2 linked regions of the Oryzias latipes genome follow. The protein of the gene in region 2 purifies or fractionates together with the protein of the main gene of each other region. This does not show direct contact. Links are inferred from orthologs where the notes say so. Each region holds a gene or a part of one and is shown on either strand. Other genes may lie near its edges. The genes, in order: cep97 and uncharacterized protein LOC105354722.

The links.
Region 1: the proteins of uncharacterized protein LOC105354722 (region 2) and cep97 purify together in Homo sapiens (co-immunoprecipitation; 4 studies listed by BioGRID and IntAct, with this or other methods). This does not show direct contact. The link is inferred for Oryzias latipes from reciprocal best matches to the Homo sapiens genes KIF24 and CEP97.

Annotation. Positions count from the first base shown.
Region 1 is NC_019879.2:10,880,624-10,883,684, forward strand, and holds part of cep97 (centrosomal protein of 97 kDa), read right to left. Parts: intron 1,955-3,061; coding exon 1,853-1,954; intron 1,762-1,852; coding exon 1,648-1,761; intron 1,569-1,647; coding exon 1,402-1,568; intron 1,315-1,401; coding exon 1,150-1,314; intron 1,043-1,149; coding exon 870-1,042; intron 778-869; coding exon 168-777; intron 77-167; coding exon 1-76. UniProt on the Homo sapiens protein: Acts as a key negative regulator of ciliogenesis in collaboration with CCP110 by capping the mother centriole thereby preventing cilia formation. Required for recruitment of CCP110 to the centrosome.
Region 2 is NC_019867.2:12,035,595-12,039,420, reverse strand, and holds part of uncharacterized protein LOC105354722, read left to right. Parts: intron 1-16; exon of another isoform or gene 17-604; 5' UTR 605-693; intron 694-773; 5' UTR 774-855; coding exon 856-1,577; intron 1,578-1,697; coding exon 1,698-1,860; intron 1,861-2,024; coding exon 2,025-2,122; coding exon of another isoform or gene 2,123-2,126; intron 2,127-2,249; coding exon 2,250-2,468; intron 2,469-2,562; coding exon 2,563-2,650; intron 2,651-2,949; coding exon 2,950-3,071; intron 3,072-3,465; coding exon 3,466-3,571; intron 3,572-3,655; coding exon 3,656-3,727; intron 3,728-3,821; coding exon 3,822-3,826. UniProt on the Homo sapiens protein: Microtubule-dependent motor protein that acts as a negative regulator of ciliogenesis by mediating recruitment of CCP110 to mother centriole in cycling cells, leading to restrict nucleation of cilia at centrioles.

The sequences.
Region 1 (3,061 bases), on a different chromosome or scaffold from region 2:
CTCTTTCCAGAGGAACTTCATGGCCTCCTCTTGCACCAGCCTCTGCAGCCTCTCGTCTTCAAGCTGCTTCTGCACACTGCGACAACACAGCATGAACACTCATGGACAACTTTCCACCTCAAACAAAGAGGTGAATGTGTGTGACAGACGCTTGTTGAGTCACTTACTTTTCTAATTTGTCCGTCAGAAAGACGATGTGATCTTGCATCCTCCGCAGGCGGATTTCACCGCGCACCTCTTTAGCAGTGGGGTGACAACATCGCGTGTGCTGTCCTCTCCACCAGGACTGGATTTTAACAGCTGCTTTGTCTGCTTCTGTCATCGTTTTTCTCAAAAACAAACCCACTTCTCCTTTTATTTCTGCTCTGTCGGTGGACGCCTCAGGACCATCGAGTGGCGCTCCGGCTCCGAAGGCTGGCGGTGCAGGTGTGATGGCGCCAGCTTCTTTCTCTATAGTCTTCTGGTCCGGTTTCTCTGTTGGCGGGTGGCGCGTCCTGTGCGTCTTAGGCTGTGCCGGCCGTTTCAGAGCCAGAGAATCGGGCTCAAACGTCTCAGTCTCGTCTTCGGTGTCGGTGTGGGTCGTGTGCAGGTCTGTGTCTGATGTGAAGGGCAGAAACACGGACTCAGACGACAGCATGCTGCTGTTGAGTTTGTCCTCATCGGTCTGCACATCCTCCAAATAAATGTGTTCCTCTGCGAGCCTTTGGCTGTGAACCACCGGCAGCGATGCATGAGCGGAGTCACAGCTCACCCAGGTGTTGAACTGCACCACTGGTTCTAAGCAGGAAAGGTGGCAAAGAGGAAAATCCACTTCACATTTCCTTCCAAACAAGCAGCAACTAGCACACAGAGCTGCAAAGCCCCCTCACCCTTCTCCAGGACTGATGGAGGATCAGCTGGTCCTGGTGTGGTGACTTCTTTCTCCTCTTGAGCTCCCCCTAGTGGATGTGAAGGGCTGTGCCTCTCCACGTCAAGCTGGGTTGGACGTGGAGGACTGAGGCAGCCTCCCTGGGTCTCCTCTAACAGCTGTCTTTGATGAAACCTAAGACCAGAGCATCAGTCTTAGAGATATTTTTATGCAGAATGGTTACATATGATGCTCGTAGGAGGAGCATGGAGGGAATGATGAACAACAGTAGAGATCCTCACCTCTGCTTGCTGAGGATCTTCTCTAGTTTGGCGTTTTCTGCCGTCTCCAGCGCTGGTGATGCAGTCAGAGGGCAAACAGTCGCCAAATACTGACTCAGCTGGACGTGCTGCCCTGGACGAAATGAACGACCTTTACCCTGACTGTAGAGCCACTCAGCTTTCAGACTGAATCAGAAAAATATTTATAGTACAAATTAATTATTTCAAACACTCAAACATGTCTTTTTTTTTTTTTATCTAGAGCGTACACACCCTTCTTTTTGAGTCACCACATAGCCGTCCAGGACTTTCAGATTCAGACACCAGCTCATGATGTACGGTCGATAATCAAAACCTGGCAGGGAAGGAGTCGCCATAACGCAGGGGTTGCTCATTATGGACAGCTGCTCCAGCTCATGAAGTGATGCCAGGTACGACACCTAAACACGAATCAGAAGAAAAATGACTTTCAGATGCTTTCGTTGTGGAAGGAAAGCTGTATCAAAACCCAGGACTTACTTCATTCAGGTCCCTGATCTCGTTTTCTGCCAGCGACAGAATGGAAAGGTGCGCCGGCAGGTGGGCGGGAACAGTGCGGAGTGTTGTAATGCTGTTTCCATGAAGCAGAAGTGTCTGCAGCACCAACGGGGAAAGTCACCAACCAAACATCTTCACAGCCGGTGTGTTGTTTTAAGTAAGCGTGAGTGTCAGTTTGAACGCTGACCTTTAATGCAGCCAGTTTAGTCAGATCTCCAATGGTGGAAATGTTGTTGTCAGACAAGTCCAGGTGTTGAAGAGACACACAGCTGTACAGCTGTTCAATCACCTGTCACACATGAGAGTGCTGTTAAATCCATTCAAACCCATGGATTCAGCTTTACAACCTGAAAAATAAAACTGCAGAAAAACTAAAACAACTACCATCCTAAAATGTACTTCAATATTTATGTCAACACTTATGTTTAAAAACTTTTGAACCTGCTGAGTTTGAAATAAATTACAACAATTTATTGGAGCCCATAGCTTATCGTTTATTTGCAAATGTGTTTAGATAAAAAAGCAAAAGACAAATATAATGTGAACAGATCAAAACGAATTGTGTTGTTTACCTGCTTCAACGAGAGCTAAACTGGAAGTTGTGTTCAGATTTTACAGCTATTAAGACGAGTGTTGTGCTCTTAACCGCTTTAGGTTTTAAAACTGAGTTACGGAAAAACAAATGGAAACGACTGCAAGAGAAAGACGCTAAAGGTGATCGAGGTTTAACTTTGAACTTTACAAATCCAAAAAAAATTCATATTCATTTTAATTCATGATAATTTATATGGCGCCTTCAGATAACCACAGTCAGAACAAGGTGGTGTACATTTAAAGCTCAAAACATTAAAAACAACTAAAAGTGTAAACCTAAAGTAAAACAGTGTAAAATAAAAATGCTGTGTCAAAGGCCTGACTATAAAAATGTGTTTTTTTGTTTTTTTTTCCCCAAATGAGGACAGTGAGGATCCCTGCTGCACTCAGTAACACGTTCCACAGCTTCGGTGCACATAGTGAAAACGCTCGTTCCAGTCTGAGCTTCTTCCTGACCTCAGCACGTCCAAGAGAGGCTGACCTGACACCAAGCTGGGGTTTAGGGAGAAGCTCAGACAGGTATGAAGGTACGATTATTTAAAGATTTCAAAACAGAATCTTAAATGAGCTCTAAAACCACAGGCAGACAGTGAAAGGTAGCTAGGATGTGGCTCCAACCAGAACATGAGCAGCAGCGTACCGGACACGCGAGACGGACGACTGGCTGACTCCAAAATAAAGAGAATTCCAGTAATCCAGCCCAGATGTAATGAAGGCTGGAGGAAGCAAAATAAAAGAAACCTTTGCCTTTGAAATTATTTCCCAAAAAATTTACTATGATTCTCTAAAATGAAAAAAATGT
Region 2 (3,826 bases):
TCATGAAAGGTGCTACATAAATAAAATTAATTTAATTTAATTTATTGAGGCACTGAAATTGTCAATATAAATCAAGAAATTAAAGTTTATCAAATCAATGAATATTTATTGAATTATTGCTGGCATTGATGTGCTCTGTCTTTAGAGTAAACAATATTTTAAGCCTCTCAGTGGAACCAGCTTGAAGAGGGTTTTAGTCTTGCCATATGGCAACTTTATTTAGGCTTATGGGTAATCTACAGTAGGAGTAAAGTGTTGCTCACCCATGTTATCTATATTTATCTTATTTGCCACTGTAAAGAAATGTGTGATGACTGCACAGTGCTGCTTTGGCACTGTCCTGCACAAGTATCAAATTTCCACCACTGCATTACGCCACTGCATGCTTTGCCTAGGACCAAGCGAGCATGCCGGTTGCAGTGACAAAGTGAGAGACCATTGGCTGTAATTCTGAGAGAAATCCTTATATTTAGTTTTTCCAGCATACCTACTAGGTTGTAGTTTTTTAATTAATTTTGATCCATGAATATGCCACCTGGCTGGGCATTGTTTTTATCTAATGTGACCAGTTAATGAAGAAACCAAAATGTATTTTTTCTTCTAGAGAGCAGCCGGAGAATAGGCATGAGATGACATGACCTTTTGGTTGTACGGGTGTTTGAGAACCTTTGGACTAGAACATCACTATGCTAGGTGAGTAAATGTAGGACATCAGCGGAACTGGTCTTTCATTATCTAAAACTGTTTTCCTCTTTGTCTTTTACTGCCTTTAGGTTCATTTTGTTGGGTGTTTTTCATGCAGACCACCTTTGAGCATTGAAAATAGAGGATAATCCTCTCCTAGGAATTCGCTCAATGGAAGATTGGATCCAACTTTTCCATTTGGTCAACTTTGACAAAAATATTAACCCAAACTACGGATGTGATGCTCAGGACTTTATACCAATAAATGGGAAACTCAGTCAAAATTCCCATGAAACTTCGGAAGACAAAGTGAGAAATAAATGTAGAAATTCTCAGGAAATCACGGATACGTTACCTTTTAATGTTTGCAGACGTCTCATCTTAACTAATGAAAACTCAGCCAACGTGAGGCTGTTGTCTGGTCTATCTAGTCTTACACTATCTAGTCCTGTTATTTATGTCAGTCAAAGTCATGATGTAGAAGATGGTTCAATGAAAGTAAGCAGATTGAACAAACCTGTACAGCTTGAGATTGATGGCAAACATCTGGGAAAATGTGTCCGGAGAAGGACTAAGAAATACAAACTGGAGGATAATCGTTCTCTGGGTAATGATCATAATAATGACACCATAAAGTCAGAATTAACAGGAGGAATTCGGAAGTTTAACTGCGATACCATATCAACAAAGAACAGCAAGATATTACACAGCCCTGCACACGTGACACCAGAGTCGTGTAAGAAAACATTTGAAAATAAATGTACAAAAGTCTCCACAAAAGAGAAAATGTTGAATTCAAGCTTGACTAAGCCCCCACCTGTACATGGAGCAAAGACAACAAACAGCTACAGCAATATTCAGGCCTGGAGTTCTCCCTTTGCTTCAAACAAAAAGTAAGTTGCATCAAATGTTGTTACTGCTGTTTTTTGGTTTATTTCTACTTTGTTCTCATTCAATAACACAAAACAAATGCTTCTTGCAGACTTTAAGCTTTTATTTTCTTTGTGTGACAGACAGACTGTTGGGCAACAAATTACTGTTTGTGTGAGGAAAAGACCTTTGTCACATGCAGAGTGCAAAGGAGGAGAAGTTGATGTTGTGACAGCAACAGACGGACAGTGTGTAATTGTACATGAAAGCAAAGAAAGTGTGGATCTTACACCCTACATATTACAGGTAGACGTGCACATAGAGGATGCTGATGGATCCTTGTACTTGAAAAATTTCACACTTTTGTGGGGGTTTTTTCTACATGCACACATGCATTGTTTCATTTGTTAGATGCTAATTTTGTGCCAGTTTTACTGATTTCTTTTTCCATCTTGCCTCTTAAACTGTAGCAAAAGTTTTACTTTGACCATGTTTTTGGGGAGGAAAGCTCCATCAAGGAAGTATATCAGAAAACAGCTTATCCTCTGGTGCAGCACATGTTTAGGGGGTAGGTAAGCACAGATTTGCTCACACTAAAATTGTGCATTATCCACCTTTCTCTCCAATTCTTTTATCAGACTCTAGTGTCCAAATCTCTCTTTTGTTAGCTTCTCGTTTGTGTTATGTGTGTGCAGAGGAAATGCCACATGCTTTGCATATGGACAGACAGGGGCGGGGAAGACCTACACCATGCTGGGGTCATCCGCTGTTACACCTGGTCTATACACTCTGGCAGTTCAGGACATCTTTGCTCACCTGACCACTGCACATTCATACCCACCCCTCCTGGTGTATGTTAGTTTCTTTGAAATCTACTGTAGTCAGCTGTATGACCTGCTGGATCACAGAAAAAGGTGTGATACAAGATTTAATATGCTGAGACTGTTTGGTGATATTCTACATTTAACAAAAGTTTTTTCTCTTTAAACAAATTTCTGTTACATTGAGGTTGTTTGCCAGAGAAGATGGACAGAAAGTCGTCCATATTTCAGGGCTGCGTGAAATCAGAGTGGACTCTGCCAATTCCCTACTAGAGGTTGGTTCTCTCTGCTTTATGTCACGCTCTGTTGCCCAGTTTTTTACTCTAGTTAGCAGCCAGCCATAGATACAACACAAAAATACAATGGAATTTCAAGCAAGGATGAGGAAACCAAAGGAAACAAAGGGTTAGGAAAACAAAACAAAACAAATAAAACGCACAAGAAAGTTTCCGTGAATATAGATTATTCACCAAAAATCATCTAACGTTTGGTTTGTGTAAGTGATATTTACAGAAAATTTGAAAGTTATAAAAAAAACTGGTGTAGGACTTTTCCCTGCCATTACTTTCACCAGGTGGTTTCAAAGGGAACAGCACAACGAACACAAGGAGTGAGTGGTGTAAATTCACTGTCCTCTCGCTCCCATGCTTTACTTCAGATTCAACTGAGAGAGCCAAACCAGCACACAGCGGGAAGGTGAGATACATCAAAAATGTTTTATTACTTAAGCAAAGTTATTTTATTCCATCAAATATTTTTATTTATCTTTTCTGTATAAGTTTTAACTTCACAAAATCTGTCAGATTTGCCAAGACAAAATAGTGCAGAGGTGAACCACAAAGAAAAAGCTGTAATGTATTGTTGTGTGCTTCAGGATCCAAATTGTTCAGCTGTCCCTTCAGTTCCTCTTAGGGGACTAGTGGAATTTGACATCTTTTTTTGTTGTTACTTTTTTCACCCGATGCACAGCAGAATAACTTGAGTAAAAATTGTCAACAAGTTCCACCAGGTTTTAACAGATTGACAAAAAGCTGTCAATAGTTTTGGGAAAATATCAACTGAAAGAAGTTGCTTTCTTGAATGTGTGCAGAATGTGGTTTGTGGACCTGGCAGGAAGTGAAAGAGCATCAGATGCCAAAGAACGAGACAAGCAGAGACGAATGGAGGGAGCAGAGATCAACCAGAGTCTGTTGGCTGTAAGTTTTAAAGACAGATTCTCACTCAGCCAGAAACTCCATAGGATGTCTGAGGTTATAAATCGTTGTTTCTAATCCCTTTAGCTCAAAGAATGTATTCGTTCTCTTGATAAAAAGGCCTCTCACACACCTTTTCGACAGAGCAGGTTGACTCAGGTACTGTGACAGACTTTAAGAATGAGTCAAAAATGCATGTATTTCATTGATATTGATGTTTGCTCCATGATTTATGATTTAAGTCTTGTTTCAGGTTTT